Astyanax mexicanus: one gene and its partner. The protein of the gene in region 1 interacts with the protein of each later gene in a pairwise test. Links are inferred from orthologs where the notes say so. Each region holds a gene or a part of one and is shown on either strand. Other genes may lie near its edges.

Region 1 (7,335 bases):
AACTCAGAGGTGTCAAGTAATGAAGTACAAATACTTTGTTACCCCATCAAAATTGAAATGTTGGATATCTATTCTTTACTAAAGTAAATATTTTTCTGACACAGTTTTACTTCTACATTTTCACACAATTATCTGAATTTTCTACTTCTTACATTTTAAAACTAGCCTTGTTACTCCTATTTAATTTTAGCTTGTTTTAATTGCATCTTATAAAAAACCCTATCCAGATAAACCTCTTCATCCAGAAAGAGTAAATCTGACTGTGGTGGGATGAGAAGTATAAACATATACCATTCCAACACCCTATTGATTTATACAATCACACCTGCACACGTCACGCCCACACTCCAGCAAGAACATAGCAGACATACAAGGGTTGGACAATGACACTGAAACACCTGGTTTTAGACCACAATAATTTATTGTCTCGACGGACAGTTCTGGTGGAAACAGGAGAGTTGAGGTGCACATTGAATTCTGTCGTGATTTGAGCAGCCGTGGTTTTTTGGATAAAATCCGGGTTAGCACCCGAACATCCCTTTCAGACAGCTTTCTCTTACAGCGTCCACAGTTAATCCTCTTGGATGTGGTTGGTCCTTCTTGGTAGTATGCTGACATTACCCTGGATACCGTGGCTCTTGATACATCACAAAGACTTGCTGTCTTGGTCACAGATGCGCCAGCAAGACGTGCACCGACAATGTGTCCTTTTTTTAACTCTGGTAGGTCACCCATAACGTTGTGTGCATTGCAATATTTTGAGCAACACTGTGCTCTTACCCTGATAATTGAATCTTCACACTCTGCTCTTACTGGTGTAATGTGCAATTAATGAAGATTGGCCAACAAGCTGCTCCAATTTAGCCATGAAACCTCCCACACTAAAATGACAGGTGTTTCAGTTTCATTGTCCAACCCCTGTATGTAATCTAGTATGAAGAAAATCTGTACAGAGACTTACGAGAACTTAAGCGAAATGTCCTAAGGTACATTACTTTTACTTTTATACTTCAATTAGTTTTGAAAGCAGTACTTTTACACTTTTATTTGAATAAGAAGCGAGTAGAGTTGATACTTCAACTTCAACAGATACTTCAACAGAAGTATTTTTAACCTTAGAATCTTTACTTCTACCTGAGTAATTAATGTGAATACTTTTGACACCTTTGCAGGTGGGTCCCAACTAGGCCACATATGCAGTGTACAGATCAGATGGGGCCTGCCTGGTCCCCTCACTGACATCCACATGAGGGGCCAACATTACATCTGGGGGCCAAACGTTTTGCTACCCACACAAGCTCCACATGGGCATGTTGTCTGGGTACTTGTGTTTTAGCTAACCTAGCCAGCTACTTAGCTACCTAACTAACTAAATAACTAACGTTGCTGACAAGCTAATTCACCATTCCACCTTAAATGGTACAGCGATTCATATAGCTGCTGCTACTTTTAAGGTGTAACGTAAATTCCAATAACTTTGTCATGGGAATTTTGTTAAGGCTCCACGCAGCCTTCATAGAAACACCATGCTCACATTCACAACCTTTTAAACCCCACTTTACTCTTATATAACCACACATTACACCTAGCTTAACTGGCTAGCGTTATGTAGGTTCGTTAACTAAGGTACAACATGTCAGCTTACCGAGCTAAGTTACTTAGCTAGCTAACAAGTTACTTTACGTTAGCTGATAAGCTAATTCTCCGTTCCACCTTAAATAATATAGAAGCGGGGTATAACTGCTGGTCATTTTAAGGTGTAACGGAGAACTCTCATAGCCACATATTAAACTTAAGTCAGCTAATTCCCCGATCCACCTTAAATTATAAAGCAGTCGCGTTTGACTACTGTTCATTTTAAGAGAACTTTAATAAGAGAATTTTAATAGCTTTGTTAGTTATTGAATTCATACAAGCGCCCTGCTCACATTCATAGCATTTAAACCCTAATGTACTTCCAAACAGCCACCAATTAAACTAGCTACTTTACAGTTCCACCTTAAATGGTATAGCAATCGCGTATAACTACTGCTCATTTAAGGTGGAACAGAGAACTCCAATAACTTTGTTAGATAAAGCTCCACACAGCATAAACCATAATTTACTCTCATATAGCCACATATTAAACTTAACTAAGCCAGGTTAGCTAGCTTAAGCAACATAACTACGTTAGCCGACACAATAATACACGTCAACTGCTACAGCAGTGGCATAGAAATACAGTTATTTTTAAGGTGGAACGGATAATTTCAGTAACTTTGTTAGATTAAGCTCCACGCAGACCCTGCTCACATTTACAGCGTTTAAAAAACACATCTTACTCATATTAGACAACCAGGAATTACACTTAGTTTAGCTTAAATTAACTAAACTAAACTAGGCCAGGCTAGTTTAACCGAGCCGGGGTGTTCTGTCGAGTTGTGCTACCCTTCGATATGCGCTACTTAGCGGCTCTGCGCATGCGCAAAACTCACACTTTTACTGTTTTCATGTGCTTTTTCTATTTTTTCCTGCCAATTTAGTTTTATTTTTCCCGGGTGCACTGTACAATCTGGACTCACAGTCATCGCTTGCTTTAGTGTTACAACCGTGTAAAAAAAAAGTAATAAAAAATGTATATATAAATGTTTTTTACATTTTAAACCACCTAACGTTATATTATACATTTTTCCTGATACAGCGATTTAGGCTATTCAAATTTGATCATACCAACAACACAACTGCATGCAGCATGTTCTAATTATTTGTATTTTTACAGTTAAACATACACTAGGGTAGCACGATTTGACAGGGTAGCACAACTCGACAGAACACAGGGTTAGCTCTAGCCGCTGCTCTGAAGCTCCAGTAGGGAGAGTGGAGCAGCCAGCCGGGCTAACAGCTAGCTTACTAGGCTAACCCCACCACTGAGCCGCACCTGTAAACGAGTCTGGGTAAATGGACTCTATCGCCTCCAGCTCGTTCCGCTGCTCCTCTCCGTAGTCGGTCATTTTATTTCACTGCTGTCCATCAACAGCTCCGCTCCCACCGGCCCTCAGAAACGTGCCTGTCCGCTGAAGAGAGGCTGCACTCGATCTTCTCCACTATCGACTAGTAATGCCTGAAACTCTGACCGCGTCCCAATTCACACGGGTATAGGTGCACTGCTTTAGCAGTTAACGTCTGAAAGTTCAGTTCATACTAATTTAATGTAGCGCTTTTACTGACTAAAACCCGTTTAATATAGAAGAACTAAAGCAGGGGCGTCCGAACTGCGGCCCGTTTCCTTTTTGGAGCGGCCCGCGAGGTATTTTAGAAATAGAATGAAAGTTGGCCCGCTGTTTTTTATAATGTGAGATTCAAAGACGCTAGGTGTCAGAAACGAGCCAAAGAGTCTAAAAGCGGAGAGCGTGCGCATTTCTAGCGCAGAAAAAGTAAACATGTAAGATTTCTTTACTTGTTTTTTTTTTTTTTTAAGCAAAATAGTTTATTTTACGTTCCAAAATTAAAGGAATATCCAGGCTAAGTAGTTAGTTAGTTTTATTCGCCCCATTACTTCTGAGCTTTCTCGCGGGCTCCCTTTGGCGGTGTGCTGTAATTTACTGAGATATGAATTGGGCTCAGGCTTTATCTGCGCCTTCAGCAAAAAAAAAAAAAAAAAACGATTTTATCTATATCGACTACTAAGGTCTGTGACTAAGAACTGTGGCCGCGTCCCATTACAACATGTACAAATTTACATTTTAATACATATCACTATACAATTTAAAAGTTTTCTAGTTGGCTAGTTTACAAGCTGTAAGTTAGCACGCAGTCTAACCAGTTATAAATAAAAAAATCGTTTTAATTGTTTGATGATGCCACAGTGTAGAGATTGTATTGACGATACAATAAATAATACAATAAGCCATATAAGTAATATTAATTATACTAAACTATAATAACTATATCAAAGTAAAACGATCCTGAAATGTACTCTTAAAGTAAGCCACTACTCATTCTTAATGGGACGCGGCCACAGTAAGAGACATTACAAGTCGGTAAGAATACAGAACGCAGACACACTGCGCTCTAGCGAGGTCACTAGGTAAGTGTCCTAGTTATAGTGCATAAAGTGCTCAAACAGCTCTTGGCCGAGAATAATGTTGTTAAAAAGCGCTATCCGCTGATCGCATTAAAACAATTCAGGTAAAAAACACTTTAGTGCTATTTAGCAAATATATAAACACTACAACTACGAGTTGAAAAAAATAAGTTAGTAACGTACTGATTTTAAACAGTTTAAACAGTTTTAGAGGCACCTGGTAATTTCTTATGACTATGCATTATTAAAAGACCTTGCAAGTAACCAAAGTACACAGTAAAATTAATTGTTTAAATGGAATGCTACTTAAATCAGATTTTTTCTCCATAGTGCTGATTGGTTGGTGTTACTGCTATTGCATGCTGATTGGTTGGTGTTACTGCTATTGAGCACTGATTGTTGTATGTTTAGACTTACTGCTACTGAGTGCTGAGTACACTTAGATGACGCTTCTGTTACTCTGTCCTGATTGGTTGTTGTTCCTGCTAATGTACTGATTAGATGGCACTTCTTCTACTGAGTGCTGATTGGATGGCAGTGCTGCTTCTGAGTACTGAGTACCATTGTCATTACCGGTTTGCATTGCTGCTACTGAATGCTGATTGTCTGTCATTGCTGCTACTGCATGCTGATTGGTTTGCATTACTGCTACTGAGTGCTGATTAGTCTGAATTGTTGAGTCCTCATTCGATTGCATTGCTGCTACTGAGTGCTGATTGGTTTGCATTGCTGCTACTAAGTGCTGATTAGTTGTCATAGCCCCTATTGAGTGCTGATTGGTTTGCATTATTACTGCTACTGAGTGCTGATTAGTTTGCATTGCTATTACTGAGTGTTCATTAGTTGTCATTGCTGCTACTGAGTGCTGATTGGATGGCATTGCTGCTACTGAATGCTGATTGGGTGGCATTGCTGCTACTAAGTGTTGATTAGTTGTCATTGCATCCTTATTGGTTTGCATTACTACAACTACATACAAATGCGGATGCTAGTGGTGCAGTCCAAATGATTCAAATCTCAAACATTAATATGCAAGAGCATTTAGTTAACTTTAGCTACAGTTAGAATCTGCACACTCATGTTAGACTACTAATGTATGTTGTCTTTCTGCTGATGAAAACCACACTATCAAAGTCTGCATTTCCTTCCTTTATGTGGTCGTAAACCTACTCAGGGTTTCCTGTCTGTGCTCTGGCTGCACGATAGAAACCTGCGGCTAGCTGCTTCCCCTCCAGAGGCCGGAGTGCCAAAGATGAGCAACTTAGCGCTGCCCAGCAATACTTGGTGTTGTAGTATTGCTGTGAGGAGATAAGAAAGCATTGATCAGATCAGGTATGGAAGATTCTGAAGTTCTGCCATTCCAGCTGTTGTAGAAATGAATTTACAAGGTGTGTCCGCTACAACTCCCATGCGCGTTCGTTGAATAGAGAGTCAAAACAGATGGAGGTGAAGTTGAAAGCAAAACAAGTATTTATTACTGAATTCAGGAGAACATACAAACACGGTTACGACCGTCCAGCATACGTTCTGAACCTCTAATGATCTGACTCCATGTATATACCAAAAATGACGCGAAATCTGCCGATGAGGCGTTGCTAAAAATCATCCCATGTCAGCAGGCATGGTGTTACGTGTTAGAGCTCAAGATTCGCTAGTGTATGGCCTTGAGAATGAGTAGCCAGACAGCACGGCATTGTTCAGTAATTAGACAATGTTTCTCTCCCCGTGCGCATGCCCTCCTCAATTTGACAGGTGGAGGTCTTCACGCGCACGGAGAGAGAAAGACCGTATTGTCTGCCCAAAAGTCTCTGTATTAAGCGAGGTCATGCAGAATGCACTATCTGCTGATTTTGTAGCTGTTAGTGAGAAAAACATGCAATCACACAATGGGTTTCAGTGAGGTGTCAGTGGCGCGTGATTGTCCGCTATACAATTAGGTCTATACGTTTATGTATCATGTGGGTTAGTTTGTCAGCCTAAGGCCTGTGTTTAGTCACATGCTTGTTAAAAACAATGCTTCACTATTAGTTTTCTATATAAATGTGTAAAAAATATACTGTGAGTAATAAAATGATCAAATATAGTGTTAACATTGGTTAATGCATATAAAATAGTTATGAAATGATCAAATGTAGTGTGAGTATTGGTTAGTGCATATAAAATACAAGGTTTCACACGATGATTATGTAATTTTAGATACCAAGATAAGTAATCATGATTGTGAGATGTTTGTCAATATATTCAAGGTAAAACGAGGTTTCTTCGTAAGATTTCCCACAATTCCCCCTTTCGACGTATCAAACAGATACGTCGACAAACCGTAATTCCTCCAATCATGTATTTACATATGTTCAACCCTTGATCAACATGTGAGTGAACATTGTACTAAAATGTGAGAGCGAAAACCTGTCGCGGCAGCCTTCCAACCTATTTTGACAGGAAAAATTCTCTCACAGCCCCTCTGCCACCCAGGCGGCTAATGAGATGAACTCTATCAAAGGAGGAAGTGACATCATAACCTTAAAGTCATCCCCAGACTAGGTGATCTACAGCAGTTCCTCTTGCTCTTCCTCACATTCCAGTATAGGCCGATCCCAATTGACATGTGTCGACCTAATTACGTGTTCCCACTTGTTACAAGGTCTGGCTTTATAAGCTGCTTAATCGGTGTTATGGGTGATTCTCATGAAGCTGCATGCAACATGTCCATGACAATTTTTAAAATCAGTACTTAATTCACAAAAACTCTGATATTGTGTGTAAAGCAAATAGGTAGTACTGTATGGATCAATTGTTTTCATTATCATAGAAAATTATTTTTATATAAATTAATTAAAAAAAATATATATGGAAATTCTCATCACCGTTATGTGTCCGTACCCCTTCCTTCTAATTTCAAGTTAAACCATATTAAAAGTACTAAGCATATCGAATCAATAAAATAGATTAAAGTCATTTAAAATATCAACATTTATACATAATATAAATAATTTTGAACAAAAAATGTACTTGATTTTAAACAAAATAACTGTTTCCGAAGAATTTTTTCTCATTACCGTTATGGTTTAATACTCATTACTTTAAAAATATAAAAATAAATTATTTCATGAATATTATCACAATATAAGGCTTTTTACAGCTGGCAAAGTTATAGGTTGTTATCATATTAGCATTTTAAGTTATTTGTGAAATTAGCTAAGAGCATCTCAACTTGAAAAAATGCTGCAATGAGGTGAAAAACTTTTTTATGTTAATGTGAAAGTCTTCGTGAG
Region 2 (7,302 bases), on another chromosome or scaffold:
TACCTCCATTTCTGGGCTGTTTTAAACAGGTATCCCCCCCCTACAGTATATATGCGATTGCCATCACTCTTTAACATACACAGTTAAAATTTTTCCACCGACATGGACTGGCATCACTCTGGTTTGCGAACCTAAATTTGAACTGGTTCGACATGTTTCCACCAACAAAAGTAGGTTCCAGAACCAGGAATGTTCGTTCGTAATGAGAACCAAAAAAATACTGGGTCCTTCAGTGCAAACCATGTTCACTGCCACTGTGCAGCACCCGCTGTTGATGTCGTATAATTAGCTGATTTGAGAGTTCCCACTAAAGCTGTTGGAAACATGGTCTGGTTCACTGAAAAGCACCGTGAGGAACCAGAGGTTATTTGACAGAAAAGAGCCAAATGTGTACACGTAATTAACATATATTTTTGTTGGATAGACTCATTCAGGTTAGTAAAGCTCAGTAATTTATCCCGTCTTACTCTTTTAGGACCCTACAGGTAAGTTTGAGCAGTGCTAAACAAAAACAGGTAAGTATATACAATTGTCTGTGTCACTAACGTGTCAGGGGTACCTTACATCATTACCAACACAGACAGCAATGCTGATAAAGGATACTGTATTCATGAAGAATGAGCTGAACAAGCTTCTCTGAACAGTATGTGAGAGGAAGTGTTGAATTGAAGGAGAGGCCACCTCCTTTCTTAGGCTGAAATGAGAAGAGAATATTTTGTAAGACTTTTGTAAGAACACAGTTCAAGGTCCAAATCAGAGGATATGTATCATGCAAACTGTTAAATGTTAAACACCTTAAGTACTCCTGAATGCAGGAAGGTAAAGAATGTAAAAAGTACCTTGAAATAAATGTTTGGTTTGCACCGGTTGAGTCTGATGCCAACAGATTCAAGCTCTTTTTCAAGAAGTTCCCTGAAAGATTAAAAAATAAATCATAGGACACTTTATCTTTTTTATTCACTATGAGGGTTCCTATGAGGAAGAAATAGCCAGATAGAAATATTATAGACAATACTCAATAAAGGGTGCACAATATTTTGGTGGTGTGGCGCAGTGGAGAACACCACTACCTGCTAGTGAGCTACCACATCTGGGGTTCAATTTCTGGTCTGGATGACTAAATGCTGCACTACACCAATAAGTGTCCTTGGGCAACTTTTGTAATAAAAATAACCTTGTAAATAACCTGGATAAAAGTGTCAGCTAAATGCTGTAAATGTATTTTTTTTTATTCCCCAACTATTGCTGCTGCTGCCAATTTCATTTTTTCATTATTTTTAGTTAATTTGATAGGAGCTTCCTGTTTCTGAATATGTCTAAGATTTTATTCATCCCTGAGGGCAAATTTGCAAAAAAATATATCTGTTTCTGTATATTCAGTACATTTTCTGTTTTATTTATAATATTATATTGTATATCTAAATGTATATCAGTCCTACCCTGTTCTAACTACCTGAAGCTCACCACAAGCATTTTAACTGCACATGGGCTAGTCTCATAAATGTTTATTTAAAAAACTTGTCCACGTTATGTACCATAACTGCACAATATTAAAGACATCTGCATACCAAGTGTAATCACATGTGGCAAGTCACAATCCATGACCAAGTCTCAACGAGGCATATTACTCACCTTTGAACCTCTCCTTTGGTTGCATCCAGCATCATGATAACCACATCTGCAGTTCTGGCTACAGCTATGACCTGTCTACCTCTGCCCTTTCCTGTATGGAAAACAACATTAACTTATTAGAATCAAGAAAACAAGTGCAAACAAAAATGTCAACATCCACTAACATCCAAAAACCACACACCTTGAGCAGCTCCTTCAATAATTCCAGGCAAATCCAGCAGCTGTATATTGGCACCTTTGTACTGAAAGAAAGAGAGCATGATGAAACATTTAAATAATTTAAAATCTCCAGAAATATAAAAATTCAAATTGACAGGTACCTCAATGACACCTGGAATGCAAGTCAATGTAGTGAACTCATATGAAGCAGCTTCACTTTCTGTCGATGTCATCAAGCTAAGAAAGGTAGACTGCAAAAGAATTGATTGTTAATGCAAAATAACAAACTGTATAACTGGTAATTAACACACATACACAAATAGATACTCTGATTACCTTGCCAACTGATGGAAACCCGATTAGAGCCACCCTGGCATCTCCTGATTTCATAACATCAAAACCTTCACCTTTGGCTCCTGCTGATTTTGAAGGCTCCAAAAGTTGTGCTCTGTACTTGGCTAGCTTGGCTTTTAGCAGACCTAGATGGTACTCCGTAGCTGCAAACATGTTTAACACAGATAAGGACATACTTTTTTTTCACTACACCCCACATCCATTTCACACCGTTTTTCTCCTTTAAAATAAAGTGAACTTTGTAGTTGAGACTGATTAAGGGTATTATTCCTATTCCTAAATAAACAAAACAGTCTTACACTTCAATCAATCAATCAACCTTTATTTTGCCTCGGAAGTACATTTAGGGCAACCCTCATCTTTTAATAAAGCTAAGCATTTACAAAAACAGGGATTGGCATGACAATTAATAACTACATTTAATAATATTAGATTAAAATAAAATAAAATAACAATAACATTAAATAAACGAAAAATAGATAAAATAATACAATAAAATAATAATTAATGGTTTAATTGATAAGAAATTAAGATCAAATTATAATGCTTAGTAAGACAAACACCTTGAAATTAGATATTTTCGCTTATTAAGATTTTGGGTTTTCGAGGCGGTGCAAAATCACCTTCCACAAAGATCCAACAGCTGGCTGTAGCTGTACAGGTATACAGAAGTGCCAAATCCAAATCCATGAAGTCAAAACCCACCCCAGTATTTTGTGGCAGCTGTCAGTGTGATTTAGCTTTAGAATAGATCCACATTCATGCTGCCGGACTGTACAAAACAGTGGTGTGGATTTGTACTTTCGGGACCTGGATTTAGCACCTTCTAACGTGGCAGTCTGGGCTGGCCGGCTAGCTAAGCTACCTTTGTTTTTCTGTGTCCGAGAGATTTCTCTCTCAATCTCGGCTATCTTCTCCAGAATCCCCATGCTGAGGGAGGGGTGAGGTCCTCAGGACGGTGAAGAGACCTGTGAGAGGAGCAGCTGAACAGAAACACAGACAGACAGACCGCTAGATTAGATTAGCTAGGGTAGCTAATAGAAGCAACTAGTAACTGTAGATAGATAACTAGCAAACTTATCGAGCAGTTTTACAGAAAAGCCGCTAAACGATGGCATTTCCGGCTTCGACATGCACATGAAAATTAAGATATAGGTGTTTATTTGTGGGTACTTTAGAATTTAACACTCACGTATAGAAATAAGAGCTGTAAAAGTTGGGAGAAACCGAACTCACTCTCTAGCAGCACCGGAGAGCACGCGGTGTCGCTCTGTAAGCTGTCCGCTGAAAACACGGCTTTGCGGACTGATCGTTCCGCCTGAACACGGACTAATGCTAGCTAAGTTAGCTAGCCAGTTTAGTTATTCTAGAATTTGAAATAGTATCTAAACTGTTATAAATCCGAATTTAATTGCAAGATGAGACGTTTTCTGATGTTTCTAAACTGACCAAACGAGTCTTGCCCTCTTCCATGGTACGAAACGTAGCTTTAAATCTAGCTAAGCAAACATTAGGTTAGCTAACAGCTAGCTATCTTACGTTAGCTAAGTAAGCTAACTAACAGCCGTCATGGCAGCTCCGTCAGGGTCGCGGTACGGGGACAGTGACAGTAACAGTAACAGCACTGGTATGGAGGGCTTCCCCTTCCCTCCACCTGTCAAACCGCCTGGAGAAAGTTCAGAAAAAGAACAGGGCGTGAAAAAGAAGCCGTGTCGAGCGTGTACAGATTTTAAGTCATGGATGAAAGTTCAGAAGAAGCAGGCTGCCCCAGGTAACCCAGCACAGGTGAGTGACTGACTGGACAGTGTGGTGAAGTTTCCTGAAAAATAAGAGTATCATTGAAAAGTTACTTTATTTCTGTAAATCAGTTCAAAATGTGAAACAGTGAAAACCCAAAAATCAGTGTCTCAGAAATATAGAATATAATTTAAGACCAATTGGTATTTTTGGCAGTGTGGACAGTGTGCCAAGTCCTGCTGGAAAATGAAATCCGCATCTTCATAAAAGTTGTCAGCAGAGGGAAGCATGAAGTGCTGTAGGATTTTCCGGGAAAACACTGCTCTAACTTAGAACTTTGGGTATAACACAGTGGACCAACACCAGCAGATGACATGTCTCTCCAAACCATCACTGATTGTAGAAACTTCACACTAGACCCAAGCAGTTTGGACTGTGTGTCTCGCCACTCTTCCTCCAGACTCTGGTCCCTTGATTTTCCAAATGAAATGTAAAATTTACTGATGATCAGTGATGGTTTGAAAAACCCTGTCATCTAGGGGTGTTGATCAAGTGTGTAATATCAAGCCCAAAATCATTGCAGTGTTTTCCCATAAAATCTTACAGCACCTTATGCTTCCCCCTGCTGATTTCATTTTCCAGCAAGACTTATCACACTGCCCACACTGACAAAATCTTATGTAGTATTAAGCCATAATCATCAACAATAAAAGAAATAAACACTTAAAATAAATCCCTCTGTGTGTAAAACATTTATATAATATATTAGTTTCATATTTTAAACTGAATTACTGAAATAAAGCAACTTTTTAATGTCATTTTTTGAGATGCACTAGTATGTATCTTCTAAACATACAGGTATGAGTTGTCTTTTCACAGCAAGTTATGTTTGTTTAAAATAATTACATATTCTGCATAGAGTTCTGATCTCTTCTTTAAAGAAAACTTGTTTTTAGTATTGCTCAAACTGATTTCATACTTTTAAAAGTACCTGGCAACCTGGCTATTTAGCAATTGTGCACACAGGTTAAAATCAATAAGGTGAAATTCCACATGGTATTTGAAGATCTCATTCATGTCAGCCCCAGACAAATTTACAATTATTGTTATCATTCATACATACTTGCCACCATCCTGCACTAAAAACATTTATTTTCTTTTTACTGGTTAATTTGACAGTTGTCTTAATGACGAAAGTGTCATCTGTCCACCAATAGAAATGCTTAAAAGTGGCTTGGAATAAAATATTTGAACATTAGCTTCCTATAAAAGTTACGATATTTTTTATGTACAAGGTTATTTCATGATGATAATATACAGGCTAATACAGAAAGCCAATACTCTATAATCCTTTTAGTATGGTCAAGAGATGCTGCTGACTCGATTTGATGCTATGAATCGTTTCCTTATTAAAAGAAACAAACAAAACAGTTTACAGTTTACCAATTTACTCTGTGGGCCAATAAATGTAGAAAATACCATCTTGGCTAAACTAGAAATTTTGCTTTTAGGAGACTCAGGTGGCTGAGGAGAAGCTGGTGGAGTGTCCCCTGGACAGGGAGGAGCTCGGGAGGAGTTCATGGTCTTTACTCCACACTATGGCTGCCTACTACCCTGATACTCCCAGCACATCCCAGCAACAAGAGATGAGCCAGTTTATCAACCTGTTCTCAAAGTTCTTCCCATGTGACGAATGCGCTGAGGACCTGAGAACAAGGTGGGATATACACAGTATTTAATATATTAGCAGGATTGATCTAGCTGTCTGCAGACATGCACTCTATGTCAAAATGTTTGTGGACCCCCCCTTTTAATAAATTCATTGCTGACGTAGATGTGCACATATATAGAAATAGCTTGTTTAATTTCTATGGAGAAGTATTTGATTGTGTTCAGTGACAAAAGCCTTACTGAGGTCAGGACTTCACTAAGGCTTTTGTCCCCTCACAACAATGCTCCAAAATCTAGAAGAAAGCCTTCTCTGCACAGTGCAGACAGTTACTCCAGCATAAGCAAGATAAACTCTTTTTTTTAGAACAAAGAATGAGCAGGTGTCACAATACTTTTGTCCATATAGTGTTTTGTCTGCCAAATTTATTTGACTCTTATCTCTCACGAAGTATCAAGCTTATTCAGACAATTAAAATATATATATATCCAGCATATATACATATACTGCCTGAAGAGTTATTACTGGGGTTGGATGCTTTATTTTTAGTTTTAATTGTTGTTTTCCCACTGTGCTTTTGGCTGTATGTTCACTTGAGCATCTGTCCCCTTTTTGACTCATCGTTTCTATCTGTTGCCAGATTGAAAACAAACCAGCCAGACACCAGCAGCCGCCACAACCTCTCACAATGGATGTGTCGTCTCCATAATGGCATCAACATCCGATTAGGCAAGCCAGAGTTTGACTGCAGCAGAGTGGACGAGCGGTGGAGAGATGGCTGGAAAGATGGCTCTTGTGATTGACACTGACATGCCCTCCACAGCTGATTCACTGGAAAACACAAAACAGAACCATCAGCTGCTTTGAACTTTTTGCCTTGGGCTATAATAACTGTTGTTGGAAGCGGCTATTGTGTCTCATATACCTGATATGTTGTACATGATGTTATACATATTGCTGCTGTACACAGGCTTGTTGACTACTAAGACCAACATGAAATTTAAACAAAATAATCAGCTATTATGACTTTCTTTACAACCAGCTTGGTCAAGAACTGGTTTACCAAAATATAAGTATTTTGTAGCTTGGATGACCAGATTTCAACCACATTGACCATCTAAAACATGGCAGACCTTTTGATTGCAGCTCAATATTTGACAGTTGTCCCAATTTGACCCGTTTCCTCCAACATAACATTTATAATGCTATTCTTTTGTCGTTTTTCACTTTTTAATGTGAATATGGAAGTGGTTCTTAACATTAAATCTAAACCTCATTTAGAAATGAAATGTTGAAATGTTCCAAAGTTGGAATAGCTTTGTATCTTGACTTTCACTGAAAGTTAAGGAAGTTTTTTTTCTCCTGTAAACAAAACGTTTTGGAGATACCAAATTTTTGTGTCAGCAACAATATGTACAACTTTGGCCCACTATAGTTATGATTATATTTTTAGTGATGTGCTCATATTTGTAATTCTGAGTCTATTTGCTTGTAAAGATAATGAATCATATAGAACTGTTATTTTTATTGTCCATGTCCTCAAAATGGCATTGATGAGAATAAGCCTTGTCACAGTGTTATTGTGGTCTGTCACATTCAACAATCTGCAATAAAGGAAGTGATATATCAGGTATAATGTATGGTGTAACAGTTTGTTCAACCAATGTTTCTTAAAATCAGAAATATTAGCAGTGGTGGACTGTTTTAAGGGCACCTTCTGCACAACACAGAGCTTTACCCGCAGGCAAACA

Evidence for each region.
Region 2: the proteins of rwdd1 (region 1) and drg2 interact in binary tests that used the Homo sapiens proteins (3 or more experiments, as listed by UniProt). The link is inferred for Astyanax mexicanus from reciprocal best matches to the Homo sapiens genes RWDD1 and DRG2.

The regions. Positions count from the first base shown.
Region 1 is NC_064411.1:31,734,489-31,741,823, reverse strand, and holds the start of rwdd1 (RWD domain-containing protein 1), read right to left. Parts: upstream 3,093-7,335; 5' UTR 2,991-3,092; coding exon 2,918-2,990; intron 1-2,917. UniProt on the Homo sapiens protein: Protects DRG2 from proteolytic degradation.
Region 2 is NC_064410.1:54,129,224-54,136,525, forward strand, and holds the start of drg2 (developmentally-regulated GTP-binding protein 2), read right to left. Parts: upstream 3,129-7,302; 5' UTR 3,075-3,128; coding exon 3,011-3,074; intron 2,289-3,010; coding exon 2,128-2,288; intron 2,043-2,127; coding exon 1,953-2,042; intron 1,875-1,952; coding exon 1,814-1,874; intron 1,724-1,813; coding exon 1,633-1,723; intron 913-1,632; coding exon 840-912; intron 695-839; coding exon 604-694; intron 1-603. Other genes in the region: gfer (FAD-linked sulfhydryl oxidase ALR), read left to right, coding at 3,715-3,930, 5,394-5,599, 6,192-6,354. UniProt on the Homo sapiens protein: Catalyzes the conversion of GTP to GDP through hydrolysis of the gamma-phosphate bond in GTP. When hydroxylated at C-3 of 'Lys-21' by JMJD7, may bind to RNA and play a role in translation.